Ovis aries: one gene and its partner. The protein of the gene in region 1 purifies or fractionates together with the protein of each later gene. This does not show direct contact. Links are inferred from orthologs where the notes say so. Each region holds a gene or a part of one and is shown in the gene's direction. Other genes may lie near its edges.

Region 1 (16,292 bases):
ATTGCATATTTCATTTATTGAGAAAGATATGTCAATATAACTTTCACTTTATGACAATTTGTACAGTATTTTATAATTTTTGAATTTTATTTTGAACCTCATGAATGAACACAGGATACAAAATTTGTTAAACACTTTTTAGCTTAGTTGGGTTTCAACATTAATCATACAATATTAGCTTTGTGAAAGACTATGTAAAGGCTGTTTTTCTTTATAAGAAAATTATTCTAATCAGATGAGCTGGTACTTATGATTCTTTGTATATACATCTGTAAAAAAATCAAATGATTATGAATGTTCTTTAGAGAACGTCTTTGTGATTTAGCATTGGGAAGCTAACTGTACATTATAATTTTTATTTAAAAAATTAGATCATGCTTGTTTTCTAAAAAATGATAAAACCTTCTTTATAAAATCATAAATTTAGAATTGTTTAATTAAAAATAACAGAAGAATAAAACCATTTAAAAAGTGTAAATAATAGCAACAACAAAAAGCTCTAGTTTACCCAACTTTTATTCTTACAAGGTTTACATCACAAAGTTCCACTTCATTCACATTTTGGGAACTTAAACCACTTTCTTCTGACTCTATAAAGGAATGATTACTTTAGCACAATAGATAGTATTTTTAAATGTCTTTTAATTATTATTCATTGGTGATGTTATTAATAGTAAATAGAATTAAAGTAAGTCAATCAACAGAAGTACATTTCATGATAGGATTTTGAATTTTTTATGAAATGCAGCAATTCACTGAGGAACATTAAAAGAACAATGTAAAATGAACAGGCGGTTTTATAAGGTGGCAAGATAAGTCACTATTGAATTCTCTATTATTTTACAGTAATTGCACCAGAAGTGCCTTTTAAAAGACTAACATGTGCTCATTGTTACTGAACTGCAGGATAATGTATTTGCTCTAATATTGTTCAAAACAAAATAAAGATTTTTCACACTATAGCTGTTGGTTTTCCATTTTTAAATAAGAATACTAGGTATTCTTTTTCAAAAACTGCTTTTCCTTATAGAAAAGCTTAAGAAAAAAGTATCACCATCCATCTAGTTGTCCTCTTTATACATTTCAATTGCAGACTGGTTTTCCCCGCTGCTCAGTTCAATACCACTTTCCCTGGTGGTGTTATGCTTAAAGTGACCATAGATTAATTTCTTAAAATTACGCAAAGCATACTTTCAGAACTTAAAACTTAAGTGAGAAAAGCCAGAGTATGTCACTTTATCAGATAATTTGATTTGGAAACTATCAGCCCAGATCATGATTTCAGATTATCAATATATTTCCCTTACAGAAATAACACAGAAGTCCTAGAGCAAGTAATAGTTTTGCTACCCACCTAAATCAAGCCAGCAGCTCACAAAACTGGTCAAACATACAAACTTCAAACTCAGCAAACTAGTAAGGTGATGTCTGAAATACTTCCTGGTCTCAGGTGTTGAATTTTCCCCACTTGGATGCTATGGGAGAATTATGAGTTACAGAGATGAAACAGGATATGATGGCAGTAAAGTGAGGACTGGCAGCGGGACCAACCTCACCCCCACACTCAGGTTCTGGTGGTCAAGGGTACTCACTTCCTAACTTTCTCCCTCTCCTACAGCCAGCACTTGATTGACTCCTTGCCTCTTCTCTGTCCAAGTCAATCGTATCAGTCTAATAAATATAAACAAACCAGAGCAGACCAAGAGATCTGGTTAAAAAAAAAAAAAGTTGGTGAATTAAAATACCATCTTCAGCTGGACCTATTTTGTTAAAGGTAAAAGGAGTGGGGGGGAGAGGGATGTCCCATACAACCAAACGTTCATGACCTTATTCCAGAATTCAGGTCTAAGCAAGTGGGTGTGCCTGGCTTGAGCTTGCATGCTAAATTGCTCAGGCTCCTCTGTCCATGGGATTCTCCAGGCAAGAATACTGTGGGTTGCCATTTCCTCCTCCGGTGGATCTTCCCAACCCAGGGATTAAACCTGCATCTCCTGCATTGGTAGGTGATTCTTTATCACTGAGACACCGGGAAATTCCTAGGAGATACAAACCTCCACTTAGAAAATAAATAAGACATAGAGATGTCATATATAATATTTTATTGTAATAAATTTGTATGGAGTCAGATGGTTACTAGATGTATTGTGGTGAACATTTCCTAAGGTATGCAAATATCAAATCACTTTGATCACATTTAACATACTCTTGTACATCAACTGTATTTCAATATAAAATAAATAAAGGCCTTTTCTTCTAACTCCAGGATCAGGGTCATCTATGGGTCTATTTTTCTCTTTCTTATTAGATTACTATTATATATTTCTGTTTCTTCATATTTTTAATAATATTTTATGTTGGACATTGTGTTTAGTTGTAGAGTCTCCAGGTAATATCTTCCATCAGCAACAGCTCTTCCTTTTGTCAGGTATCACGAAAGCCTAGTAAATCCATCAGGTCTTGAGCTGGGTTGTAGATTTGAGGATTCAGGCTATCTCAGGTTCATTCCCATTCTTCATGATTGATCCACTTGGGTTTTTTGGTGTCTTGGATGTTCTCCTTTTTTCTTAACAATTCCTTCAACAGATGTTTTAGTGGTGGCAACTGTGTGTATGTGGGGGTGAGGTGAGGTCACTGCCATGACTTATTTCTCTTCATTTCCTCCCTTATCTCCTTCTTTCCCTTCACTGTCCTCTCTTGAAGGAATACTACTTGCTTGTCAAAGTGGCTGCTTCGTCCTCAGAAGCAATACTTATCTGAAGTTGCCATCTCTGGCTTCTTCCTGACAGCCAATACTAACCCTCCAAGAGGGCTTCCCAGGTGTAGCGCTTCAGCCTTAAAGAACCCACCTGCCAATGCAGGAGCTGCAGGAGACACAGGTTCCATCCACAGGTTCCTCCCTGGAGGAGGAAATGGCAACTCGCTCCACTATTCTTGTCTGCAGAATCCCCGTGGACAGAGGAGCCTGGCAGGCTACATTCATACAGTTGCACAGAGTCAGACACTACTGAGCTTCTGAGCACAGGCACACACAACCTTCCAAGACCTAGGCTGTGCTCAGTATCCTGGTATTTCATGTTTGACATTTTCTTTCAGGGCTTGATTTTGCCTATGCTTTGTCTAAATTACTTGCTCCTCTTTCCTCGTTTTCAAAGAGGAAGCCTTGCATCTTCTCCTCTCAGCATCGGAGTCTTGCAGCAGTAGAGAAAACTTGCTGGAGTTTGCTACTTAGCAGTCTTCCTGTTAATTTGATGTTTGTGGTACCCTCCATCTCCAAGTATCGTGAAAGGCATAAATCATGTGTAACTTTAAACTCCTTGTATATCTCATGGTTTTTCTTAAGATCTGTAGACAGATTCTGGCTTAGGCAGTTGACATAAGCCTCTGGACACCAGCATAACTTATTTGTTATTTCTTATTGATATAAAATTAACTCTGTTGATGTGCCATACGCCAAGCTGCTTCAGTCATGTCCATCTCTTGGCGACATTATGGACGGTAGCCCACCAGGCTCCTCTCTCCACAGGACTCTCCAGGCAAGAATAATGCAATGGGTTGCCATTTCCGCCTCCAGGGGATCATCCTGACCTAGGGATCGAACCTGCATCTCTTACAGCTCCTACATTGGCAGGCGGTTTCTTTACCATTAGCACCACCAACTCTGTTGATAACCAGCTCCAATTTATTAATTTTCATGCATTCTAAATATCAATTAATTATACAATTTATTCATTCCTTTATTGATAATGATTTAAGTTGCACTTAATATTTCACTACTACAAGAGAATGCTACAAAGAACATATTTGTATATGTTTATTTATTCACACATGTAGGCATTTCTCTAGGGCAAATACTAAGTCTAAAAAGTGCTGTGTTATAGAATATGTGCACCTTCACTTTTACCACATATTGCCTAATTGCTCCCAAAAACTGTTGTAATACATCTCTACCAGCAGTGTTAAGAGGATTCTTATTTTTCTACACCCTTATTATCAAAGGTTCACTTTTTTACACTTCTGTCATTCTGATGGATGAGACATACTATCTTTTTTTAATCTGCATTTCCCTGATGACTAGTGAACCTTTGTCTTTTCATATTCTTTTCCTAGTTTTCCATTAGGTTGTTATTCGTTCTTGTTCATTTTAGTTCCTTGTGCATGCTAGAAATAAACATCTTTGAAATTCTGTATTTTGTAAATATATCTTCCAAATTTGTGCCTTATCTTTAATTCATTTAGCTAAACAGAAGTTTTAAAATTATAACATCATAAAAAAAATAAAATTATAACATCATGAAATCTACCATTTCTTCCACTAACATGTCATTTTTTTAATTATAGTTTTTTATTTTTTAAATTTTAAAATCTTTAATTCTTACATGCATTCCCAAACATGACCCCCCCCCCCCCCCCACCTCCCTCCCCACAACATCTCTCTGGGTCATCCCTATGCACCAGCCCCAAGCATGCTGCACCCTGCGTCAGACATAGACTGGCGATTCAATTCTTACATGATAGTATACATAACATGTCATTTTTAAAAAATATGTTTTCTGAAATTCCACCAACGTCCTGGACACACAGTCCTATATCTTCTCATCAAAGTATAACAGTTTGTCTTTTACATTTGTATCTTTACTCACCTAGAGTTTATTTTTGTATATAATGAAAGGTAATACTTTTTTCCTATGTGGACAGACAATTGCTCCAGCACAACAACTTCATACTGGTACAAAGTTTCCTCATCTGTTCATTTGAGTTCAAAACAAACCGAATATGTAGGGCCTTTCACAAACACATCCATTCAGCTTATAGTTCACCGCGCCCTTCCAGAGCAGCATCATTATCTTTTTTTTTTAATATTATATATATTTTATTATACCTGCTTATGCCATTTTTGTGTTTATATCATTACTCATTTTATCAGAAGTTTCCCCACACTCCTTCCTTCCATCCATCATTTAATAAACACATGTTGAGCACCTCTTATATGTTAGACACAGATGTATGGAGGTGGATGTAAAATAAAATAATCCTTGAGTTCAAGAAGTTCTTAGTATAGTTCTGTTAATACTTTACTAGACTTTTCATGAAAACTGAACCATTGGTTTGCAATTTAGAACTTATGTCAACCAATTGTATAGGGAAGCTTAATCTATTTCCAATGAAACCCCATATTTTCCCCCTAAAACACTGAACATTTTTACTTCTGAAGCAAAACTACCAGAGCAGCATTATTATCTTAACAAAGCATACGACATATTGCATTCGCTCTTCTCGAAATATTTTCACAAATCCTGTTCTCTCTTTTCCTTACAAAATTGCAAACTTCTGAGACGAAAAAACAAGGCATTGCCCAATTAATCTTCGCATCCTCTATATTTGGCATTGACTTGATTATCAAATACTCTTCAATTTTATTCTGATTTTCACCCTTATAGGTGGGAACTCCCAGTCAGTATAAGCCATATCTTTATATTTAGGTTTTCACACAGAAAGAAAAAGCTTACCTTTCATCTACTAGCCCACCCAAACAAGTTCAGTGTTTCTAAATCTTTTTTCAAATTTTAAACAGAAACCTCAAAAAAAAAACTCTTAGTGATTAGAAACCCAAGTGACCCTTTGTGCCCTGTTGTAGAACAGTCTGCATCAACATTAAAGTTAGAAGGCACCGTGTGCGGGTCTGGCCTGGACTTGTTTTTGTCTTGATGCCAGGAGTGGGCCCCTCCTTGACCCAGTTCTGAGCTGGGGCGATGCTCGGGGGAGTGTTCACATCCACGGGGCTTTCCTCATCTTCTCTTCGTTTGGTCCAGAAGCCTCGACCTGCACGCAAATGGCAGGATGCGAAAACTACCTTCCAAGTCACCGACCATCCCTGATGGAAAGCGGGGGTGTCCAACTCCGCCGCCAGCATTCCTCAACACGACTTTGGGCTGGAGCAACCGATGGCGCAAAGTTCTCAGGCGACTTCTAGAACCTCTCGCCAGCCTCCCCCGCTGCCTGGTTACCAATCAGGTCAGGCTGCAATCCAGCGCTCCCCATTCGGCCGCTGGACCCGGCGCCCCAGTTAGTTCCGGGTGACTTCAGGTCACGTCGAGGAAACAGCTGAAAGGGCGGGCTCGGGTACACGAATCCCACCGCACCTTCCTGAGCCCCCGCAGACGCCGAGGGGCGGGCTGGGGGCCCGGCGTCAGGGCGGCTGAGGCGCGATGGGGTAGGCGCGGCCTCTGCGTTCCCGGAGTCGCGCGCCCCTGCGGCCCCAGCGCACATGCGCCCGGACGGCTTTCCCATAGGCCCCCGCGGCGGAGCACCGCCCCCGCCCGACGCCCTCGAGCGGCCAGGAGACGGCAGCTGCCTCACCCGGCGGCTCGCCGGTAGAAGAGCCTTTGAAAGGCGGCGGGAGGCAGCGAGCGCAATGGCGAGACTGGGTCACCTGCTGAGCGTGTTGGGTCTGGTTCTGTGCGGGGCGACGGGCCTCGGTCTGAGCGCCCCTCCCTCGCCCACCCCCAAGAAGCCCATCATCGGTAAGGAGGCGGCTGGGGCTGGGGCTGGGGCTGGTGAGCCGGGAGCGCGCCCTGGGCGCTTCCAGCTGCTGCGCTAAGGCAGGTGCATCCGGTCCTGGAAACGTTAGGGTTAGTACGTGTGCCTTCCTAGCCCAGGGATCAAACCATCATTGAGATCCTGCTGAAATATACCTAGCTAATGCTCGTTGATTTCCCGCAAATCCTTGGCTCTTAAAATTGGAAGGGAGGAGCATGCACCGTGAAGAATCCTGAGGATATGGCAGCCCACTCCAGTGTTCTTGCTTGGAGAACCCCAGGGACGGCGGAGCCTGGTGGGCTGCTATCTGTGGGGTCGCACAGAGGTCGGACACGACTGAAGCGACTTAGCAGCAGCAGCAGCAGCAGCAGCAGCAGCAGCAGCAGCAGCAGCAGCAGTAATTTCTGCGGAGTAGGCAATGGCAACCCACTTCAGTACTCTTGCCTGGAAAATCCCAGGGACGGGGGAGCCTGGTGGGCTGCCGTCTATGGGGTCTCACAGAGTCGGACACGACTGAAGCGACTTAGCAGCAGCAGCAGGAACTTCTGCTAACTAAACCTTCTGTATGCATGCATTATCTTTATTAAAATTTCACTGGTTGAGGGCTCATTTCGAGGAACAATGCAAAATCGAATTGACTAGATAATTGAGAAATTATGGTATACCTGGCCTTTGTCGTCTTTGGCAGCGGAGGGCAGCCGTGGCTCCTGTGATCCTAGTAGCAATTCTGTTTTATGTTAAAGTAAAACAGTCATTTTTCTTTTTCAACACACTTATTTTCTATAAAGGGAGTAACATCAATTTGCATCGCCAGAACAGACATTTAAGACTGGGGCAAGGGAAAGCAACCCTGGAGAAATCAGCTCGTATTTGAAATGTGCAAAAAAGTAATTTGTGGGCGGACAACTAGAATTGATTTCATTTTAGCTGGTAGTATTGTTAGGCCTTTCATTTTGTTTCTTTCCCCCCCTTTATTTCCCACGAAGATGGGCACTGTATCCTGTAACTAAATAGAAAGTAATTGAGCATTTTTTCATGGATATTGGTAGTGTCCATTTTCATATGTGTTGTGTATCAATATTTGAAACTTGAGATGCATTATTTCAAAGGGAGTTAACTCAAAATGTAATCCTATGTAGGCTTACTGGGTGGCTCAGTGATAAAGAATCTGCCTGCCAATACAGGAGACGCAGGAGATTCAAATTTTATCTCTGGGTCAAGAAGATCCCCTGGAGGAGAAAATGGCAACCCACTCCAGATTCTTGCCTGAAGAATCCCATGGACAGAGGAGCCTGGCAGGCTACAGTCCATGGAGTGGCAAAGAGTCAGACATGACTTAGCTACTGAGCACATTGCAAAACAAAACTACACAGGATGTTTTATATTTTGATTACAATGTTTGTTCCATGTTATCTGGTAAAATATATGTGCATTTTACTATATGTAATCTATACCTCAGTAAATCTGAGTAAAGTTCCTTGAAAAGCAAAACAAGGGATGCAGAGAGAACTTTTAAGGGGCTATTAGAATAATCCAGGTTGGGGGGGTAGGCAGGATGTTTTGTTGCTTGGATTAAGATTGTTTTGATGGTGTTGGAGAAACATGCATAGAGAATTTTTTCACTCTTTTGCTTTGTTGTCAAGGAAACCATGTGCCTGTGTGTGTGTGTGTGTGTGTGTGTTTAGGGAGGGGCCTTCTGCTGGATTTAAGGATTGGTACTCTGACATAGATTCTAGCTTGTGCCAAAGAACCTGGCTTTGGGGGCTTATTTGGCCTCCCCGATGTGGCAAGAGAAGAAGCTACTTACAATTCAAATAAGCCTCCACTACTCCTTTTCCAAATCCTATAGATATCCTTTCAGGAGAAGCTTTATGTGTAATTCTGTGAATTAAATGAGTGAAGAAGTGATATTTCTAGGGTGATATGTTTCAGTTTCTGAGCAGGAAAAGAAGGATATTACTTGAAACAGAAACTTTATTTTTTTTGTAATTTAGGAATATTAATGCAAAAGTGCCATAATAAGAACATGAGAGCCCTGGGAAAATACTACATTGCTGCATCCTACGTGAAGTTTCTAGAGTCAGCTGGTGCAAGAGTGGTACCAGTAAGGTACGATGCAATAGTTTTTACACTGAATTAAAAAAAACTGCAACTTCTGTTTCCTCTCTAAAGTTATCTTTTATCTCTAAAATGAATGCTTTCTCTCTTACGATTGCATTATTCAAGCACATTAATGTTATACCTGGTTTTTGCCCCAAATCTAATGCTTAGAGTGTCTCATTAAGTTGTTCAAAGTGTGAAGCTGCATCTTTCTATTATATCATTAGAGCTGTGTCATGTATATTAGATAGAGAATGAAATGATAAGTTCCTTTACTCCAGAAAAGGTGATCCTCATCAGATATTACAAAAGCAATGGAGTAAAAGCACTTCTAGATTCACCAGCTTCATTCCATAATATTAGTGTAAAGAAACATGTAAGGAATCAAGGAATATTCTAGAAGAGGACTTTTCAGAGACCTTCCCACCCCACTTTAGAAGTTTGGAGATGACTAATACAGCACTGTTGCTTCGATATTAATTGCAGGTATTGCGATTTTAAAGGACCTACATTATTTTTGTGGTGTAATGATCTAAGGAACAATCAAATGACTCGTGTCATATTCATGACATGACATGATAAATGATTCATGTCATTTTGATTTGGAAAGACTTGAATTTTTTTTTTTTTTACAAAAGCCTTGTTGCTGTATTGATATTGTCTTATCACCCCAAAATAGTGTATTTGAGGGTCTTCTAGCACACTCACCTAATCTATTGTAAGTGGTTTCACACATAAAACACAACTGTTTGCTCAGGAAAACCTGTTATTGTAAGTAATTTCACATTAAAAAAATGGTAACGAAAGTAAAACATTAATACTCAAAATGCAAATACAGTTTTGAGAATAGTACCACAAAATGGTTTTATCTTTAGATGAACATTTGCTTTTGACATTAGTCTTCAGTTTTTTCATAGCAATCTAATTTTTTCAAATGAAATCTTCTTTGGAACTTAACTAACAGCAGAGTTTTAGAGCTGAGGTGGAGGTTCTGGACAGTCCTCCAGACAACTTGCAAAGTTTTGATCCTGGAAGCTTTTTCTGCAAGCTGTTCATTTAGAAAATAGGTTTAATAACATGGGTGGAAGGTGGGAGAGACGAAAGACAGGTAGGCCAGTTCAGAGATGTGACTGGGTTAGGTGTGAAGCAAGGAAGGCTTGGCTTAGAGCAGTGGTTGTAGAATTGCTAGGTAAATGTTTTTTAAAAAAATTAATAAGACTCAATGACTACTAGGATGAAAGGGCACAGGGAGGAATAGACAAGAATGGCAGAGGTTTTGAAATGGGAAATGTTGAAACTGATGACTTGCAGAATACTGAGATTCATGACTGAGATGCTGAAAACATGGCATACAGGTTAATTTCCAGCTTGGATTCCCAAAGTTCATTTTAAGGTATATTGCTCAGAATTAGAATCATGTGATTCTATAAAAGCAGTATAATACGTGGCAGCTAAATTCCCAGAGCAACCTGCAAAGGATTCCCTAATGTAGAATGAGTCGTGATCACACTGATGATGTTGGTTGGGTTTATTTCTGAATTTCGGATGCTGGGGACTGACTGCTGCAGTTCAGAAGGAAAGAGGAGGTGGACAGGAGACCTCAGCAGAATCCTTGAGCAGGCGAAGGTGCCCTTCAGGGGAAGGGCCCTTCAGAGGAAGCAGGTGCCCTTCCTCCTGTCTGGCCTTCACCCTCTGGTGCCCGGTGCACTCAGGTTATTATAATCTCCTGCCCTAGAACTGGAGGGACCCAGAAGGTGTCCACCTCCTGAGAGGTGGCATGTGGCAGCCCACTGGCACTTTTGGTCTAAAAATCTGTTTCATTCGTAGTGTTTAAGGTATGTACAAATCAGGAGACTTCATAAAAGTCTATATTTCTGGCCTTTATTTTTTTTTAACACCGTTTTCTGGAGCTAATTTTGAATAGAGCAAGAGCTGTCCATTGGCAGCAGTGCCTGTTGCTCCTTTTCATGCTCCGAAGCTGTCATTTGCCATCATTACTAGACGTATGCTGTTTTCTTTAAAGAGAACTTATTGAGGGGGCCTTGCGTTTTAAGAAAGTCTGACAACATGCAAATGTCATCTGTGTTCAAAGAACGTGCCCTGTCTGTTTTGCCTTCACGGTCTCTGAGACACCTATGTTTGTGACCCCCGTCCCCACCTCACAGTTAAGCCCCTTAATAGTGATGCACTGGGCCCCCAAATTCAGGCATGGACAACATGGGAACCGTTTTTTAGAATGAGTGAAATGACCAGAGCCCGGCTGCAAGGCTACCTGGCAGGAGTCCCTGGAGAGCAGCTGATTCATCTCAGTCCATTTGAGCTTCTGATGGTGGTGGTTGCCTATCCTGATTTAAATGTCCGTGGGGAAGATTCTGTGTCCCGACTGGTCCCCTCTTTGTTGACATAATCTGGGGAGATTCACCTGGCAGAACGCTGGGACTCAGCGGTTTCCCTGGTGTCCCCACAGCTAAGACTCCATGCTCCCAGTGCAGGGGGTCTAGGTTCCATCCCCGGTCAGGGAGCTAGATCTGATACGCTGCAACTAAAATCTGATGCAGCCAAATAAATAAATAAATAAATAAATAAATAAATAAATTTTTTTTAGAAAAGAATTACTTTCACCTGGCTTTTAAATAGTAATGTGGTAGCTTTATTTAGAGACTTTCTTTCTTCAGTTTTGGGAATGGATGTTTTATAACTATTTTTATCATTTTCAGGCTTGATCTTAAAAATGAAGAGTATGAAAAGCTTTTCAAATCTATTAATGGGTAAGTTGCCAACATTGCTTTAAGACAATGTATGAGGTCTAAGTGATGCAAAAGAGTACATATGAATACAATACATGTTTCTAGGTAACTATTTTTCAGTGGTATAAATGTTAGTTTTCTGAGTTATTTTATAGAAATTATTTTGTTGAGTGATGTAAAAATCCTGCAGAGAGAAGGCAGGTTAAAAAATAAATGTTATATAGTAGATAACATATTTTTTTTTAATGTACGACATAATTTTTATTCTTTTAATGCTTGTTTTAAAGGCTTTGAAGCCACTTTGGAGGCCATGACATACTGCTTGCTTAGGGGATTTATGTCTTAAGACTTAAGATATTAATTGGTTATCTTTCAGACGGTGATTTGAATAGAATTTGGTAAAAAGTTTTATATCCTCTAGCTTCATCACAAAAGATATGATTGCTTAGCTCACAGAAAAAAATCATATGAAAAAATGTGAGACTTATTCATAATTAAAGGAAAGCTAATTATAACAATTAAAAACCACCAAGTTGGCAGAAAGCAGAAAATGTGCTAATGTGCTAAGGTGAGGTGAGGGTATGAGGAAACAGTGTTCTTATACTTTATTTGTGGGAGTTGTTGATGCAAATAAGATACAAACAATCTACATTAAGGAACAGAAGAAAGTTTTCTTCAAGCCATACTGAGGACTATAGCCCAGGAAGAAAGTGCTTTGGAAAAACACCATGTTATATCTTGACAGATCAAAGAATGTACGTCAAACATGACAGGGTTACATTCCTTCCAGGTTTCAACAAAGACGTGGCCAGTGAGTCAGCATGACCTTAATGTCTGGCAAGGGAACCTTGGAAGGACCAGGTCTTGGAAGGACCACTAGCATGGGCGTCATAGGAAGGGCAGCCATTTGTCCCTATCTTCAGAGTGGACTTTTCTTTAACTTCTAGATAATGCATTCTTTTCTTAATGGTTAAAGCAGAGGTACAGTACATGTTTGATGGACCATAGACAGACTGTTCTTATTAGCATAAAGTTCCAGTCAAATCATGTGTAAGTCAGAATGACTTCCCCATACTAGCTCATGCTAGCTCATAGTAGGTGAAAATTTCTTCTATCAGGGTGGAAGTTAGATAGTCTTTTGGGGGCAGTTTTATAATCTTTTGAAATTAAAAATGCACATACCATGTGACACAGGAAATGCTTCAGAAGGAATTTTAGTTTACAAATATAATCCTCTCCTTTAACATATACACACTACTATATGTGAAATAGGGAACCAACGAGGGTCTGCTGTACAGCCGAGGTATCATACTCAATATTTTATAATAACCTATAAGGGAAAAGAATCTGGAAAAGAAAAGCTAGTCACCTTGCTGTACATCTGAAACTAACACAGCATTGAAACTTGACTATATTTCAATAAAAAGTAAAGCGAAAAAGGTATAGTCCTGTCTTATATGATGACCTGGGCCCAAACGTATGTACTGTTGTATTGTTTGAAATACCCCTGATTTGGAATCCATCCACCCACCCATCAGTTTGGAACTGGGTTAAAAAATAAACTATACTCATATGATAGAATATGGTTCAAAATGAGGGTGTCTGTAGATGATGCCCTGAATCACTGTTGTAACCTGAATAGTGTGGTATTGTTACACGAAACAAGCAGGGTGCACAGAGGTGTGTGTAGTGTACTCCCATTTGATTTTGTTTTTGAAGTTGGGGTGAGGAGACATGCATAATATATACCAGGTTAACACAGCAAATCTTAATGGTGGTTATTTCTGCTTGGGAGTGGAATAGAGGGAGTCTATCTTACTGTAAAGCTTTTATTAAAAGAACTTTTAAAAATTAAAAATAATTGTTCATTTTTTAAAAAAAGCTATGTTCAAAGCTATCATTTGCATTCAGTTCAGTTTAGATCAATAAGTATTTAAAATCAGTTCAATTTAGTGAAATATTTACAATGCCTGTTATGTGCAGTGTACTTTTTTTTTTCTTTTTTTTAAAGTTGTGATTGAGTTTATTTTTTTTAAATTTTTTTTAATTTTAAAATCTTTAATTCTTACATGCGTTCCCAAACATGAACCCCCCCTCCCACCTCCCCTCCCCATAACATCTCTCTGGGTCATCTCCATGCACCAGCCCCAAGCATGCTGTATCCTGCGTCAGACATAGACTGGCGATTCAATTCTTACATGATAGTATACATGTTAGAATGCCATTCTCCCAAATCATCCCACCCTCTCCCTCTCCCTCTAAGTCCAAAAGTCCGTTATACACATCTGTGTCTTTTTGCTGTCTTGCATACAGGGTCGTCATTGCCATCATTCTAAATTCCATATATATGTGTTAGTATACTGTATTGGTGTTTTTCTTTCTGGCTTACTTCACTCTGTATAATCGGCTCCAGTTTCATCCATCTCATCAGAACTGATTCAAATGAATTCTTTTTAATGGCTGAGTAATACTCCATTGTGTATATGTACCACAGCTTTCTTATCCATTCATCTGCTGATGGACATCTAGGTTGTTTCCATGTCCTGGCTATTATAAACAGTGCTGCGATGAACATTGGGGTACATGTGTCTCTTTCAATTCTGGTTTCCTCGGTGTGTATGCCCAGCAGTGGGATTGCTGGGTCATAAGGCAGTTCTATTTGCAATTTTTTAAGGAATCTCCACACTGTTCTCCATAGTGGCTGTACTAGTTTGCATTCCCACCAACCGTGTAGGAGGGTTCCCTTTTCTCCACACCCTCTCCAGCATTTATTGCTTGCAGATTTTTGGATCGCAGCCATTCTGACTGGTGTGAAGTGGTACCTCATTGTGATCTTGATTTGCATTTCTCTGATAATGAGTGAAGTTGAGCATCTTTTCATGTGTTTGTTAGCCATCCGTATGTCTTCTTTGGAGAAATGTCTATTTAGTTCTTTGGCCCATTTTTTGATTGGGTCGTTTATTTTCTGGAATTGAGCTGCATAAGTTGCTTGTATATTTTTGAGATTAGTTGTTCGTCAGTTGCTTCATTTGCTATGATTTTCTCCCATTCAGAAGGCTGTCTTTTCACCTTGCTTATATTTTCCTTTGTTGTGCAGAAGCTTTTAATTTTAATTAGATCCCATTTGTTTATTTTTGCTTTTATTTCCAGAATTCTGGGAGGTGGATCATAGAGGATCCTGCTGTGATTTATGTCTGAGAGTGTTTTGCCTATGTTCTCCTCTAGGAGTTTTATAGTTTCTGGTCTTACTTTAGATCTTTAATCCATTTTGAGTTTATTTTTGTGTGCGGTGTTAGAAAGTGGTCTAGTTTCATTCTTTTACAAGTGGTTGACCAGTTTTCCCAGCACCACTTGTTAAAGAGATTGTCTTTACTCCATTGTATATTCTTGCCTCCTTTGTCAAAGATAAGGTGTCCATATGTGTGTGGATTTATCTCTGGGCTTTCTATTTTGTTCCATTGATCTATATGTCTGTCTTTGTGCCAGTACCATACTGTTTTGATGACTGTGGCTTTGTAGTAGAGCCTGAAGTCAGGCAAGTTGATTCCTCCAGTTCCATTCTTCTTTCTCAAGATTGCTTTGGCAATTCGAGGTTTTTGTATTTCCATACAAATCTTAAAATTATTTGTTCTAGTTCTGTGAAAAATATGGCTGGTAGCTTGATAGGGATTGCGTTGAATTTGTAAATTGCTTTGGGTAGTATACTCATTTTCACTATATTGATTCTTCTGATCCATGAACATGGTATATTTCTCCATCTATTAGTGTCCTCTTTGATTTCTTTCATCAGTGTTTTACAGTTTTCTATATATAGGTCTTTAGTTTCTTTAGGTAGATATATTCCTAAGTATTTTATTCTTTTCATTGCAATGGTGAATGGAATTGTTTCCTTAATTTCTTTTTCTACTTTCTCATTATTAGTGTATAGGAATGCAAGGGATTTCTGTGTGTTGATTTTATATCCTGCAACTTTACTGTATTCATTGATGAGCTCTAGTGATTTTCTGGTGGAGTCTTTAGGGTTTTCCATGTAGAGGATCATGTCATCTGCAAACAGTGAGAGTTTTACTTCTTCTTTTCCAATTTGGATTCCTTTTATTTCTTTTTCTACTCTGATTGCTGTGGCCAAAACTTCCAGAACTATGTTGAATAGTAGCGGTGAAAGTGGGCACCCTTGTCTTGTTCCTGACTTTAGGGGAAATGCTTTCAATTTTTCACCATTGAGGATAATGTTTGCTGTGGGTTTGTCATATATAGCTTTTATTATGTTGAGTTATGTTCCTTCTATTCCTGCTTTCTGGAGAGTTTTTATCATAAATGGATGCTGAATTTTGTCAAAGGCCTTCTCTGCATCTATTGAGATAATCATATGGTTTTTATTTTTCAATTTGTTAATGTGGTATATTACATTGATTGATTTGCGGATATTGAAGAATCCTTGCATCCCTGGGATAAAGCCCACTTAGTCATGGTGTATGATCTTTTTAATGTGTTGTTGGATTCTGATTGCTAGAATTTTGTTGAGAATTTTGGCATCTATGTTCATCAGTGATATTGGCCTGTAGTTTTCTTTTTTTGTGACATCTTTGTCAGGTTTTGGTATTAGGGTGATGGTGGCCTCATAGAATGAGTTTGGAAGTTTACCTTCCTCTGCAATTTTCTGGAAGAGTTTGAGTAGGATAGGTGTTAGCTCTTCTCGAAATTTTTGGTAGAATTCAGCTGTGAAGCCATCTGTACCTGGGCTTTTGTTTGCTGGAAGATTTCTGATTAGTTTCAATTTCCGTGCTTGTGATGTGTCTGTTAAGATTTTCTACTTCTTCCTGGTTCAGTTTTGGAAAATTGTACTTTTCTAAGAATTCATCCATTTCTTCCACGTTGTCCATTTTATTGGCATACAACTGCTGATAG
Region 2 (15,682 bases), on another chromosome or scaffold:
TTTCTTACCCATTCGAAAAACACTTCAGGAATTTGCGTGTCGTCCTTCCGCAGGAGCCGCGTTAATTTCCTCTGTATGTTCCAGTCTTACTAACGTGCTGCCGAAGCGAGCGCTGAAGTACTGTTTTCACCCCGTTGTATCAAGGGCATGCTGACAGCATGACATCACTTCTGGTCTTTACCTTGAGCAGCTGGCTGAAGTAGTGTTTGCTGGGTTTCTCCACTGTAAATTCCAGCTTTTCCTGTTCTCATACAGGAAGGGGAGCACTGTGTGTAGCCCACTTGTAAGGGTAGGGAGTTATGTTTCTCCTCCTTGACAGTGGACTGTCTGTATCTGTTACTTGGAATATTTCTGCCTGGGAAGTTTGCCTCTTTTGTTTGATTAGTCTCATTTATTTATTCAGTAATGTAATGTGTAGATTCATGGGCATTTATTTTGTGCTTTAGAATATAATCTAGTACGACTTATTTATTGCTTGTATTGTTCCAGCTTTGGCCATTGCTCGCTCTTTTGTTCCTTTGATGTAGCCCCCCATCCTTGTGGGCGTTTTTGTTTTGAACACTTCGTCACTTTCTGGCGGTACAGGATGTTCCAGGCTTGTCTTATATGTTTGCTGCCCTAATCCTAGAATCAGCCAAGGAACCCAGTTTCCTTTTTATTGGAGATGATATTGGAAACCAAAATCCTTGATGCTAGGGTATTTATTGAATTGCTACTGAGGTGTAGTAGTTTCTTGTATGCCCTCTTAACTGATAGAGCAAGAAAATATATGTGTGTATACTAACTGGTTCATATGCACATATCTATAAATGTTTTGTGTGTAATCCTCTGTATAGTAAGGTAGACATGAGTTCATATTGTAGTCTCTTAACTCTCGCCCGTTACCATGTGGATTATCTTAGCCTCTTTGTCTTGCTTGTCCGTAAAATTTCCACGCTCAGCATTGAAAGTGGCCCCTGCCATACACCATCCATTTACTTAATTTTCCTGATATGTGTGTATAGCAGTATGCAGATGGTCACCCTGGATGCTCATGCGAGTCAGTTCAGCTTGAGCAGTACTTTTGCATAGTCTGGTTTTGCAGACTTCGCTGATTGCCAGAGCTGCTTAGGGAAAAGTCTTTTCCCGCCAGCTCTCTGAGTGAGGTTGCTTCATGGGTTTGTGATACAGTGGGGTGGTTTCGCCACATCCTGTGTGTATCCTTGGGTCACTCAGCCTCTTAAATGATGGTTTATAATTTCCGTACATCAAGATCCATTCTTTGTGCTGTTTTATGGGATTTGAAAAATATGTAGTACCGTCATCCATAACAACAACAGTATACAGGACAGTTTCTCTGCCTAGAATAGCCCCCTGTGCTTACCTATTCAACCCGACCGCTGCCTCTAAACCTCTGGTTTTTCTTTTTTTTCTTTTGCTATCTAGGGTTCGGCCTTCTTCAGAATGTGATCTAATTGGAATTACATAGCATTGGCCTTTTCAGACTCAGTTAGCCTTCTCTCAGCAGTATCCACTAAAGATTTAAGTCTCTTTTGGGCTTAATAGCTCTTTTTTTTTAAATTATAGTTTATAGTTTGGTTACAATGTTGTGATAATTTCTGCTGTACAGCAAAGTGATTCAGTTTAGGTAGCTCATCTTGTAATTTCTGAACAATATTTCATCGAATGGGTATACTACAGTTTGTTTACTCATTCCCCTACTGAAAAATGTTTTGGTTTCTTCAGGTTTTGAGTTATGGATAAAGCTGTTATAAGCATTTGTGTGACGGTTTTTGTCCAGTCGTAAGCCTTCAGATCTGTTGGGCAAGAACTTGGGAACATGATTGACAAATCATATAGTAAGTCTATGGTTAGCTTTGTAAGAAATTGCCAGAGTATGTTCCAGAGTGCCTGAAATTTTAGATTTTCACCAGCAGTGAAATGAGTTCCTGTTACTTCACATCCTTCCTAGTGTTTTGGATCTTAGGCATTCTAATAGGGGTATTGTAGTATCTCATGGTTTGCAGTTACCTAACAGCAGATGAAAGAGCTTCCCCAGTGGCTCAGCGGTAAAGAATCTGCCTGCAGTGCAGCAGCTACAGGAGACCTGGGTTCGATCCCTGAGTCAGGAAGATCTCCTGGGGAAGGGCATGGCAACCCACTCCAGTAGGAGAGTCCCATGGACAGAGGAGCCCAGTGGGCTACAGTCCATGGGGTTGCAAAGAGCTGGACACGACTGGAGCGACTGAGCAGTGGCAGATGGTGTCTCATCTTTTCATATGCCGTCTAAACATCTTGTTTGGTGAGGTGTCTGTTTAGATGCTTTGCCCAGTTTGTAATTGGGTGGTTTTTCTTACTGGTTGCGTTTGTGTTCTTTGTACATTTTGGAATCCATTTCTTTATTAGATATTTATCTTGCAAATATTTTCTCCTAGCTTGATTTGTTTTTTAATTCTCAAGTTTCTTTCATAGAGTTAAAGTAAGTTCAACCAATTTTTTTCTTTTGTGTGTCTAGCTTTTGATGTATTGGGAAACTCTTTGTCAAACCCAAGATTGCTTACAATTTCTCCTGTGTTTTCTTATAGAAATCATAATAGTGCAACATCCTTTTTGATATGTGTGTGTAGGAGGACTGAAATGAGGGTGGGTTTTGTTACTTGGTAATACTGGGTTTTCATTAATGAAGTGGAGAATTAAGATCACCTTAAAATATATTGTTTTGGATTATTTCTAAGTGTGACCAAGTCTTTAACAAAATTTGGAATGTTTGGGCTGGCTTAATAGTGGCTCTTGAAACTAGACCTGTTCAGCGTTTTCTTGGGAGTACTGGCAAGTTGCTTTGGCAAATATTGAAGCAGCATGTGTAAAACTAGCAGTGGCTTAGGCTCGTAAACACACGGCTGTGAGAACTGACTTGCCATGGGTTGGCAATGGTGGTTCCTCCACGGCTTTAACAACCCTCTAGGTAATGTGAAAGTTAACAGATATGTGCCTGAGACTTCTCAAACCTGAAAAACCAGGTCCTGAAACTCAGGCTGTAGGGAAATGGTGGTGGAGAGAAGTGCGTTTCCTGTCCATGACTGGGATGGTAGCCTTATGCTGCCGGACAACTTCTGCTTTTATTCTGCCTCCCTCATGCAGATGCCACCTTTCCTGGGTTCCTCGTCCAGCAACCTGTTCCGCAGTCACGCTGCTCACTCACTAAACCCTGCCTGAATCCTCCGTTCCAGCCCACTCCCTTCAGGACCCTTCCTGACTAGCCTTTCTATCCTCTCACACGTGTTCGGGATGCAGCCACGTTTTGTCTAGTGTAATAGAAATAGGAGATCTGAAGTCTTTGACTCTCACTTATTGGTTGTGATATTGAGTAAATGATTGGGTTGTTTTCATTTCACTACATCTTAGTAATACCTCAAGGGAGGTTTGCAAAATAATGTAACTGTGAAAGTGCTTTTATAAACTGGAACACAAAGCACAAGTTGATGATTCATAAACCCTAGTCAGTGGTTCTCAGGGTAGCAACCTTTGCATCCCCTGGAACCTGATAGGAAGGAAAAGGCCCAGCACGCACACACTCAATCAGCAGTCTGTTTTAAAAAGCCCCCTGAGGCACGCTCAAGTTAGGAAGAGCTGTCTTGTGACATTATACTCAACCCAAGGAGCATTGTGTTAGTCTGCTTGGACTGCCACAACAGCACCACAGGCCGGGCAGCTTAAACAACAGAAAAGTGTTTTCTTACAGTCTGGAAGTCTGTGATCGAGGCGTTGGCAGAGTTGGCTTCTGATGTGGCCTTCCTCCTCAGCTTGCGGAGGGCCACCATCTTGTGTCCTCGTTGGACTTAACCTCTGTGCATGTGGATTCCTGGTTCTCTTCCTCTTACTATAGACACCAGTTAGGGCCCCAACCTTATGACTGCTTTTAACCTTAATTACTTAAAGGTCCTATCTCTAAATATAGTTATGTTGGGAGTTCAAGTTTCAACATACAAATTTGAGGTAGGAGACACAGTTAAGCCTGTAACAGCGGTATATGTTGTATGTGTGTGTGCGCTCAGTTGCTCACTTGTGACCAAATCTTTTACAACCCCATGGACTGTAGCCTGCCAGGTCCTTCCATAGGATTTCCCAGGCAAGAATACTGGAGTGGGTTACCATTTCCTTCTCCAGCGGATCTTCCCGAAATGTGGGTCTCCTTCATTGGCAGACCAGTTCTTTACCACTGAGCCATCTGCAAGCCCATAACATAACAGCAGTATATCAGTAAATTAAAAGATACAGGGAAAAAAATCAGTCTTCCTGTTCTGCAGCTGTACTCTCCCTCACTGAACCCTACCTGAATCCCATTTTTGAAAGTTAAGTAGTTAGTTCATCTCCCCGATTAGCTTTTCCTTGAGCAGCAGTGTTTTAACATCAGTGCACAGTCCTTATTAATTCACTGGCTTTGTGGTTCACTTAATTGCTACTGGGCTTATCACATTTGCCTTTTTGACTTAACTATTTTGTGGGCTAATTTGATTTATAGAGTATCCCTGGGAACCCAACTGCCATTTATAGCATTATTTCTGTGAGGACTTCTTAGGTTGTATACAGTTGATGTAGATAAAAGGGTTGAATCAGCCTGTTTAGTTTCAGAGAATCCAGTGTAGTTGTAAATCAAAGCGATATTGCTACGCCATTGTAGATTTCGGTGGTAGAGAATAGAAGCCTTAACAGTGAAAAATTGAAATTACTGGCATTTCTTGGTATATAAGAAGCCATAGCAGAATGTTGACATTGAGAGTTTTTAAACTCTAATACCAGTCCTAGGAAAGATGATGAGTGAGTTTTTATTTTTATAAAAATCTTTTATTTCTTTATTTTCTGTGCTGCCTAGGAGTCCAGTGAGCCTTACTTTCTTTCATTTTGTGAAAACAGTACCCACGCTTTATAAATAAAGGAAATGCCGCCAAATGATACATGAAAGTCTAGTTCTATATAATCAATCACTTTAAAGGATTATAGCATTTATAAGGAATTAGGCGTTAAATTCAGCATTAGAATAAGTTGATTTACCAGTGACCAAAAAATTAAGCTATTTTATTTTAATAAAATCTTTTTTATAGCAGTGAAAATACTTGTAAGATTTACCATCTTAACCATCAAGTTCAGTGGCATTGAGTATGTTCATATTGTTGTACAGCTTTCACCTCCATCCGTCTCGAGAACTCTTCATCTTGCAGAATTAAAATTCTGTACAACCTACTGCCGAATCATTTTGTGCATCCGTGTGGCTCAGTTTTTGTATCTTTAGATCTGTGGTTTTGGAGAGAGGATTGACTACCATCCATGACAGTCAGATATGATATGTAAGACACTTGAAGGCTTAGAAAAAAGAGATAAAAATAGTTGGTCTATGGTTTAATATATTTTTTTGTTTTTCGGAGAAGGCAATGGCGCCCCACTCCAGTACTCTTGCCTGGAAACTCCCATGGACGGAGGAGCCTGGTGGGCTGCAGTCCATGGGGTGGCACAGAGTCGGACATGACTGAGCGACTTCTCTTTCATTTTTCACTTTCATCCACTGGAGAAGAAAATGGCACCCCACTCCAGTGTTCTTGCCTGGAGAATCCCAGAGACGGCAGAGCCTGGTGGGCTGCCGTCTTTGGGGTTGCACAGAGTCGGACACGACTGAAGTGACTTAGCAGCAGCAGCATGGTTTAATATATTTTTTTGTTGAATCTTAAAACTGATGTATTATTTATTTACTTGGCTTATTGGGTCTTAGTTGCTGACAGGTGGGATCTTTGCATCCTGCGGGGTCTGGTTTTAGTGCAGGACCTTGTTGAGCATGGAGTCTCGAATTGTGGCCTGTTTGCTCTGGGCTTAGTTGCTCTGTTGCATGGAGGATCTTAGTTCCCCAGCCATGGATCAAACTCAAGTCCCCTGCTTTGCACAGGGTTCCCTGGAAGTCCCTTAAAACACTAATTAAAAAACATACCTATTCTTCTTGATCTTTGGACAAAAACAGCAGCATCTAATCTAAATTAAGTCTTTAATGTGAGGCAAGTTAACTCCTCTGTTATTTCATTGTAATGTTTTAACTCGTTTAAACTATTCTGTAAAAGGGGCTTTGTCTATTGTAAAGCTCTTTACAAATGCAAGAAGTTATTTTGAAATTATATCTGAACACCCTAGGTCTGTGTAGCCAACATGATATTCTATATGGGGACAATTGTTTGAGTTATAGTTTGAATTTTTTCTTGAAATTGAATCTTTTAACTAACTGATTTTAGGAAAACCTGTTATTCTGAGTTCACTTTCTTTATCTATAAAATGAAATACAGTAAAGTTCCTTTCAGCTCTGATTTGAAAGCCTTAATTTTAAATAAGGGTTCAAAATTTTTGAAAGGAGGTGATACAATTAACTGTATTTTTTTTTAATAAATACTTAGATCATGGAAGGGAAGTGGTTGCTGTGTATGTTACTGGTCCTTGGAACTGCTCTTGTTCAAGCTCATGATGGACATGACGATGATGTGATTGACATTGAGGATGACCTTGATGACGTCATTGAAGAGGTAGAAGACTCGAAACCGAAGCCAGATGCCAGCAGTCCGCCATCGCCAAAGGTTTGACATGATCTTTGAATCTGTTTGTTTTGCCTCTTGAGATGATCAAAAGATGAAGGTACATTTTGGATCCTTACCAAAGGGAAAGCAAAATTTGCTAAAATACTTATTGCTCTCCCTGTCAACCTTTGTTATATTGTCCCAAAGATAAATTATATGGGTTGAATTTGAGGGCCAGTCATGCAAGTGTGAAAGCAAACCAAGAGAATAGATCCTACTGAGAATATTTTAATTCTTAATTCATTTTTATGTTTAACACAGGTCACCTACAAAGCTCCAGTTCCAACTGGGGAAGTGTATTTTGCTGATTCTTTTGACAGAGGAACTCTGTCAGGGTAAGTGTTTTGTAGGGGGATAAAATCTTAGAGGCAAACATCATGTAACTAGAATAGTAGATTCCTTTTTAGATAGTATTTTATATTTTCAGTCCCATTTAGGAAAAATCTTTAGAACATGTGGTTCTTGCTTCCATTTATTTCCCCTTCACCTTGTATTTTGTTCTTTGAGGAAAATCTTTTTTTCTCTTTGAGTCTTAAAAAGTGAAATTATTCCATGAGTTTGGTGCTTTTTGTTAACCGATTTTTGATTTGAGTATAATATATTATCACTACTTGAAAGACATATTTAAAAGTTGAAAGTAGAGTGATTAGGTGGGCTAAGAAGAGCTGAATTGTCCCTGTTTTTATTATTATTTACATTGTTTCTTTTTACAGGCCAACTGTAATTTGATTCTTAATTTGGGGGGATGTCTTAATTACAGGTGGATTTTATCCAAAGCCAAGAAAGATGACACTGATGACGAAATTGCCAAATATGATGGTGAGAGTTGCATTTGACTTAGATATAACAGCAGATTGAGATATAGTATGCTTCCATAGTATCTCAAGACTAGTTTAAAAGTAGTATGTATACATTTTAAGGTTATTCCTTGGAACTTTGCTATCTTTGTGTGTCCCATTATATTTTATAGGGTTAGACCTGTTTAATTTTAATTTTTATACTATAAAGTAGAAAGATAATTTATTACCCATGGTGCTGTATTTTGAACATGGAAGGTCTTTTCTAGGCATTGGTAAAATGCATGTGCTTTGGGTTTTTAAAAACTATATCCTAATATTTATTAGTTATGTGTGTTTAATATTAATAGGCCAGCTCTTAGAGGTAAATGGAACAGGTTAAACATTTGCCTGTGTGATGAATTTATACAACTTGGAGTTTTATTTATTACCATTAAAGGATCTTCAGAGGTGTAGTTAGAGAATGGAACTATTTTTTGTTGTCTTGCAGGAAAATGGGAGGTAGATGAAATGAAGGAAACGAAACTTCCAGGCGATAAAGGACTTGTGTTGATGTCTCGGGCCAAACACCATGCTATCTCTACTAAGCTGAACAAGCCCTTCATCTTCGATACCAAGCCTCTCATTGTTCAGTAAGTAAAACACTTGGTTGATAGAAGCTTTCTGGGAAGAATGATACCTGTTTAAAACTGTTATTCTATGTAAAAAAATAATGAAAATAATTACATGTTGCAATAGAAATTTTAGGATGTGTTTCAGCATATCGTAACATTTTTTTTCATGCCCAGTAAATTATTTTAAAATAAATCAGCTATTTTTCCTCCTGATGCCAAATGAACTTCTGGATTTTACAGAAAGTATTTATTGGGAATCTGCATTACGGTTTTTTTGGTTTGTTTTTTTTTACTTATTTAATTTTGGAGGATTGGGTGGATATAACAGTAGAAGATGGAATTTTTACATATAACCTGTATAAAGCATGTGATCAAAATGAGGGAAAGGGGAAATAAATTTCTGCTTTTTTTCCCCCCTAAAATTAGGTATGAAGTTAATTTCCAAAATGGGATAGAATGTGGCGGTGCCTATGTGAAACTACTTTCCAAAACCCCAGAGCTCAATCTGGTAAGTGCTTTCTGTTTATGTGGCCACCCAATTACCTTTTAAGAATTTCAGAGAGAACGAAAGAAAATTTTCTAAGACCTGTGAAAATAAAGGTCTTCTTTCCTGCTGTTGAAATATCTTGGAAGTTGAAAATATCGACATTGACATTTCTGTGCTTTTTATTTGAAATGTAAATTTTGAAGCTGTTTCTTAGTTTCTGTCCTATGTAATTTTTAGTTTTAGCAAACTTTATAAAAGAAGCAGTAACTCTCTAGATAAATGCATTATTTTATGCTTTTAATCATTCTCAGTGAAATTTCTGGTTATTTTCAGTGGTATCTGTACAAATCTCATAAATGAATAAATAGGATACTATTTGGGAATTTGTAAGAGGATATATCATACTTTTGAAAAGTTGCTTTTCAACACTTTGAGTTACTTAATTCGTTTCTGTTTCTGAAGGATCAGTTCCACGACAAGACCCCCTATACGATTATGTTTGGTCCAGATAAATGTGGAGAGGACTATAAATTGCACTTCATCTTCCGCCACAAAAACCCCAAAACAGGTGTATATGAAGAAAAGCATGCTAAGAGGCCAGATGCAGATCTGAAGACCTATTTTACTGATAAGAAAACACATCTTTATACATTAAGTAAGAAAAACTATTAATTAATTTGAGGGGGTTTTGGCACTGCCCATTTATTATCCTTCTAAAGATTATAATGAAAATGACCTGCAAATAACAATCTCTATTGACTTAATATCATAGTGGTGAGAAGAACTTAGTTTCTCAGCACTAAAAGAAATGTTTCTTCCTTAGGTTGAATTGAGAAACAGATTTTAAGAAAAGCTTTTATGTCCTGTAAAAGGATTCTTTGCTTGATCTCCACTCATCTCCTGCCTTTGTTTATTTTCTTATTGATAGAATGTTAAGTAACAGGACATACAATAGAAATGTGTCTTCTAGTTGAACTTGTTTGGATGCTCCAACACCTAGACAGTTGAGTATAATTATTCAGACATTGGAATGGGGTTTTTTATATTCATAAGGCTTTTTCTGCTGCTTTGAGATCACATGTAGTCATGCTTCTTTTCCTGAAGAATGCAATACCTTTTTTTCTTTATAACGAAAGTATATATATTCAGCATAGAAATTTGAAAGGAAAAAAGACAAAGTATCTGAAATATCGACATTGTGATACGTATTTGGCCATATGTGAGTAAACATGTATATATGTGTAAACACATAATTTTATATTAAAGGTTAAATATGTTTTATTTCTTCTCTTAACAAAATGTGAGAATTTTCTGTGAGAATGTTTCATTGATAACATTGGTCACCTTCATTATCATTTAGGACAGCAGCATAGTACTTACTCTGTTAGCTTCCACAGTATTCTGGATGTGCTGTGATCTAGTCACTTGCCTATTAGACATTTAGTCGTAGGATCCAGGCTTTAGCATAATTCCACTTAAGATACCTTTATAGATTTAAAGCTACATTTGCATTCTTCACTGGAGTCCAAAAGTACAGCCTGAGTAGATTTGTGGTTTAATAAATAAAAGGTTTGTGTGATTGGAACTGTTGGCAACATAGATAGTGGTAATACCAACTCAGAAAATGAGGAAATGGGTCTTTTCTACTGGGAGATGGTTATAATAAATAAACTTATTTGCCTGTTGACCTGTGTGTAACCATTTGTGACAGACCAATATTGCAGTTACTTTGCATACTTTTGGTGTTTTGATGTTTTTGTGTTCATATTCCATGTTCATGGAATATTTTGTTTTTAAAATTTTACCTGTTGTTTAATTTCTAAAAACCTGAAGAACTAATGTTTATGATTGACAGATAAGGAAAAGAGTACAAACTTGCCTGAGCCTCCGTGACCGTGTTCCGACTCGTAATAGCCAAAGTCATTACTCCATGCTTCTGCCTTCTGTTCGAAATACGATCTTTTGTGGTAAAGAAAACTTGGGAATGAGTGGCTAATTAACTTACAAAAATTGCATTTGGTTTTTTTCAGTCTTGAATCCAGATAATAGTTTTGAAATATTAGTGGACCAATCTGTTGTGAACAGTGGGAATCTGTTAAATGACATGACTCCTCCTGTAAATCCTTCACGTGAAATTGAGGACCCAGAAGACCGGAAGCCTGAAGATTGGGATGAAAGACCAAAAATACCAGATCCTGATGCTGTCAAACCAGATGACTGGTGAGTCTTTGGTACCTGTTTTTGAATGCAGTGGAGCGTTTCATACATTCCATGTGGCTTAAGCAATCTAATGATGGTTGAAGTCTGATAATTTGTACAATCTGTGATGCAGTGTAAATGTTAGGAAAAGTGCAGACTACTACAGCTGAAAATAGTAGTGACCGCATGGTGACCCCCAGGGCCGTCGTGGTCATCTGGACTGCCTCACGCCATTTCACAAGCTACTAAATGCTGAAACTCATGATAGGGCTTGCCTGTGGCAGCACAGTTGGTTTGCGACGGAACTTCACATTTTTTGGCCTGGCCTTTCCCGTGCTTCTATAATTCAATTTAAAGCTGGAGTCCTAAAATTTTAATTTGAAAAATAGCCTTTCTCCTATTAAGCAGTACTCAGCAGATCTTTGCGCTCCGTTGGGCGCTGGAATACAAAGCTACAGGCACGCCGCTGCCTGCACAGCCCGCACCGTAGTTGTGAGACAGGCAACGAAGTTGGCGTGCATATGGTGAATGATCTAATATGTGTTTCCATGGTGACCAGAGCACCAAGTATACCAGGCTTTAGTGTTTTAAATTGGGAACTGAAAGTGGGCAGGAGCTAACTAACTGGGAAAGATGGGAAGTGGTATTTCCTGGTTGAAGGAGAATATCATGTGCAAAAGTAGAGGAAGAGGAGCGAGCTTAGCACACACGTGGGCAATTGAGTGGTCTTTTATGCAGGATGCAAATTGGAGAGTGGTCAGAAATGGAAGCCGGTGGGTTGTCCTCTTGTGCATGACCCTGTTTGAACTCTTGGTATGGTGACTTGTGGAAATGTTAGAAAGTGAACAAAGAGAAATATAAAACTGATTTTCCATTTGTAAAAGCATCCTCTTAGGTTTCTTAGGGAAATTCTAGTTGATACTTACCTGCTGCACTGGTGTAAAGAGTGAGTTTATTTATATGTTTGGTGAACATTAGATTTGGGCTCACCTTGTTCAGTATTGTATTCCTTAACTAGCTGTTTTGTTGTGGAGGAGAAGTAAATGTTCAGCTTAAAAGGTCAGGTGAATGATAGACAAGTTTTAGTCCTAACACAATTTTAAACTAGCATAGTTCTAAAACAAGCATAACCCTGACCAAGAATAGGAGATGTCCTTGGTTACCAGCTAAAGTGGCACTGTCTTACAGTAACTGCAGAAAGCTTTGAAATTAGGTACTTCTTGATAAACTTAGAAGGGTGACTGTTAAAGTCATAATTCACATGCTAAAATCCACCCTTTTAAAATGTACAGTTTACTGGTTTAGTATATTCATAGTGTTGTGCGGCGATTACCACTGTAATTCCAAAACATTTTTATCACCCAAAAAGAAGCCCATACCCATGAAGCAGTTACTTCTCCCTATTTCTCCCTTCCACCAGCCCCTGGCAACCAGTAATCGACTTTCTGTCCTACGGATTTGACCATTCTGAATATAGGATTAGTAAGATATGTGGTCTTTGGTGTCTAGCTTCTTTGGCTTAGCATAATAGTTTTAAGACTCTAAGACTCATCCATGTGGAACCTTGTATTGATACTTTCTTTTTGTGACTGAATAATATTCCATCCTGTGGGTGATACCACATTTTATTTATCGATTCCTTGTTTAATTGACATTTAGGTTGTTTCCCTTTTTGGGCTATGGTTGTGAATAACACTGCTATAAACATTCAAATGAATGGTTTTGGGTTGAACATACGTTTTCATTTCTTTTGGGTATATTCCTAGGAGTGTAATTGTTAGGTCACATGGTAACTATGTTTAACTTTGTGAGGGACTGCCAAACTGTTTTCCAAGGTAGCTGCACCATTTTGCTTTCTTACAAGCAATTTAGGAGGGTTTCATTTTTTTCCATATCCTTGCCAATACTTAGTTTTATCAGTCCTTTTTCATTATGGTCATCCTACTGGTTATGAAGTGGTATCTTATTGTGGTTTTGATTTGCATTCAAAATGATGACTAGTGATGTAGAACATATTTTCATGTGCTTTTTGGGCATTTGTATATCTGAAGAAATGTTTATTCAAATCCTCTACTGGTTTTTAAATCAAATTGTCTTTTATTATTGAATCGTAAGAGTTCTCTATATATTCTGCATACTAGACCCTTGCATATGATTTTAGATATTTCTAGGAGGAGCTATTTCACAAAGTGGGACCACACTGTAATCATTGTAGTTCTGTGGCCAGTGTTATTGTTAATTGTCTTTTTCTTTTGTGCTTAGGGATGAGGATGCCCCTGCTAAGATTCCAGATGAAGAAGCTACGAAGCCCGAAGGCTGGTTAGATGATGAGCCTGAGTATGTGCCTGACCCAGACGCAGAGAGGCCGGAGGACTGGTATGAGCATTGGTTAACTTTAACATTGCCTGCTCTTTACTGAAGGGAAAGTTAGTACTTAATACAGCCAGGGCTTCCCCGGGGGCCCAGACAGTAAAGCATCTGCCTGCAGTGTGGGAGACCTGGGTTCAATCCCTGAGTCAGGAAGGTCTCCTGGAGAAGGAAATGGCAACCCACTCCAGTATTCAACTGCTCAAACTTAAGTGTAGAGCTCAACAAACTAAATTGATTACATTTTCATCTCTTTTTTAATGTATCTTGTCACAGAAAATCCTTTGTTACTGGAAATGCAGAAACAAAATGATGCTTTGTAGTACGCCGCTGAATATTCCTGCAGGATTTTAGGGAAGCCCTGGGGTAGCTTTTCATAGTCCTGCTTCACAGAATCCACTTGCAGTTTGTTTATGTCTATATAGGGATGAAGATATGGATGGAGAATGGGAGGCTCCTCAGATTGCCAACCCTAAGTGTGAGTCGGCCCCTGGGTGCGGTGTCTGGCAGAGACCCATGATTGACAACCCTAACTACAAGGGCAGATGGAAGCCCCCCATGATTGACAACCCTAACTACCAGGTTGGTACCTCCTGATGGTTGAGCTGCTTCATTGAGCTCTTTGTGTTCAGATAGTTCTCGAGTGTGTAGTGAGCCTGCCACAGATTGATCCTCTATATTCAAAGAATTGAATTAAAAACAAAGTAAACTTCGGAATTAAGAGAGAACTTATGTGTTGTGTTGAAGAGATAAACCTAGGAAGTGGAAAGACAAGCTTTCATAATTGCATTATAACTTAAAAACAAACAAAAATGAAAACTTGTGTTTCGGACACCCTCCTACCATGTGGCAGGGGTGCTCCAGCCATAAATATCCAAACTGGCAGTCTCTGGTAGCGTGGATAGGGGACTGTGGTGAAAGTTGGTTTCCTGACCGTGAGTTAGCCCATTGCTTGACCTCGGTATCTTCAGCTATAAAAAGACTGAAGCGCAAATGAGATGATTATACCGGTGGTGATACCTTAAAGCTTCAAGTTTACTGTGGCTCTGTAACAGTTCCGACCCTGGTCTCACTTCTGTTTCTGTTCTAGTCAGATTATTTAAACTCACTAATTTCTACTTTACAGCTTACTTCGAAATGTAAGTTCTATCTCTACATATGGACTGTGTATGCTTTTCTGTTTTTAAGTGTATTTTTAGTTGTGCAGGCAGTAAGAAAAGTTGCCCCTTAGCTGTTTTGTTGACGGCCATTTAGGTGAATTTCCATTTTTGCGTTTAGAATCCTTGCTGCAGTGATTTTTCTTGTACTAGTCTAAGTATGCGTGGCAATCATTTCTCTGGGCAGTTGTCTGAGGTGAAGTATCTGACTGAAGACCGTGTGCACTTCACCACTGAGGAAGTCTGTACTGGTCTGTGCTCCCACTCCTGCCAGCAGTTAGCTGATAAGAGTGAAGGCTCTTGGAATGTGCCAGGTAGAGCAAGGTGTTGGTCTGAATCAAGGTCATGGGTGAAACTGAAAGTAGAAGTTGGAAGTAGTTGGAGTCAGCCGTCTTAGAGGCGTTAGTAGCGTTTATTGTTTTCTTCCTGATAAGTTTCACCCAGTCAGCACTTACTTCACAGATAATGCAGAATTCATCTTATTTAGGTTCACTGTAAATTTGTGTTGATCATTATCTGAAATGATTTTTTAAAATACTTTTCTCTAGGGAATCTGGAAACCACGGAAAATACCAAATCCAGATTTCTTTGAAGATCTAGAACCTTTCAAAATGACTCCTTTTAGTGCTATTGGTTTGGAACTTTGGTCTATGACTTCGGACATTTTCTTCGACAACTTTATTGTTTGTGGTGATCGAAGAGTAGTTGACGATTGGGCCAATGATGGATGGGGTCTGAAGAAAGCTGCAGATGGGGCTTCTGAGGTTCGTGCTTCCTTGTTTCTTGTGCATTTATGTCTTTTATAGGTAACTAATTGCTACTGTTGGTGAAGAGCGATCTTCTAAGATTTGTCTTTTCCCTTATTTGGGAATGTTGTCATAGAAAGTGTGACCTGTGTTTACTAAAGACAAAATACTGGGGTTTTGGACATGATTTCATTAGGTTAATACAAAGATTTTAGAGTCTATATTTGTGTTATATGCATGGTATTTCTTTTAAAATTGTGCTAAAATATAGTTAACAGGGATTGACAAATATACTACTATATATAAAATAGATAACTAATATGAACCTATTGTACTGCACAGGGGACTCTATTCAACACTCTTTAATGACCTACATGGGAACAGAATCTGAAGAGTAGATACATGTATAACTCACTCACTTGGCTGTACAGCAGAAACTAGCACAGCGTAAATCAACTATTCTCCAGTTTCAACAATGTAAAAAAAATGAACAAAGTTTTCCATTTAGGATCTATTTTAATACACTCTTAAATATTGAATTTTGGTTTATTAAATAAGTGGAATTTTCAAATAATTGGTCATAAGGCCAAATTGAAAATTGGAGACACACTAAGAAAAAGAAATTCTTCATTCACTGGTCCCTGAGGTTAAGAAACTTTGCAGGTAATTGGGAAGCCAGCTTTCACACCTAGGAAAGAGAAATACCCTTGATGATAAAGATAGCAGGA

The links.
Region 2: the proteins of GGH (region 1) and CANX purify together in Homo sapiens (affinity purification with mass spectrometry; 3 studies listed by BioGRID and IntAct, with this or other methods). This does not show direct contact. The link is inferred for Ovis aries from reciprocal best matches to the Homo sapiens genes GGH and CANX.

What each region holds. Positions count from the first base shown.
Region 1 is NC_056062.1:41,008,391-41,024,682, reverse strand, and holds the start of GGH (gamma-glutamyl hydrolase), read left to right. Parts: upstream 1-6,315; 5' UTR 6,316-6,412; coding exon 6,413-6,521; intron 6,522-8,531; coding exon 8,532-8,646; intron 8,647-11,354; coding exon 11,355-11,405; intron 11,406-16,292. UniProt on the Homo sapiens protein: Hydrolyzes the polyglutamate sidechains of pteroylpolyglutamates. Progressively removes gamma-glutamyl residues from pteroylpoly-gamma-glutamate to yield pteroyl-alpha-glutamate (folic acid) and free glutamate.
Region 2 is NC_056058.1:1,385,521-1,401,202, reverse strand, and holds part of CANX (calnexin), read left to right. Parts: intron 1-6,410; 5' UTR 6,411-6,413; coding exon 6,414-6,587; intron 6,588-6,848; coding exon 6,849-6,922; intron 6,923-7,347; coding exon 7,348-7,406; intron 7,407-7,874; coding exon 7,875-8,016; intron 8,017-8,424; coding exon 8,425-8,506; intron 8,507-8,947; coding exon 8,948-9,140; intron 9,141-10,515; coding exon 10,516-10,705; intron 10,706-12,946; coding exon 12,947-13,060; intron 13,061-13,476; coding exon 13,477-13,633; intron 13,634-14,756; coding exon 14,757-14,972; intron 14,973-15,682. UniProt on the Homo sapiens protein: Calcium-binding protein that interacts with newly synthesized monoglucosylated glycoproteins in the endoplasmic reticulum. It may act in assisting protein assembly and/or in the retention within the ER of unassembled protein subunits.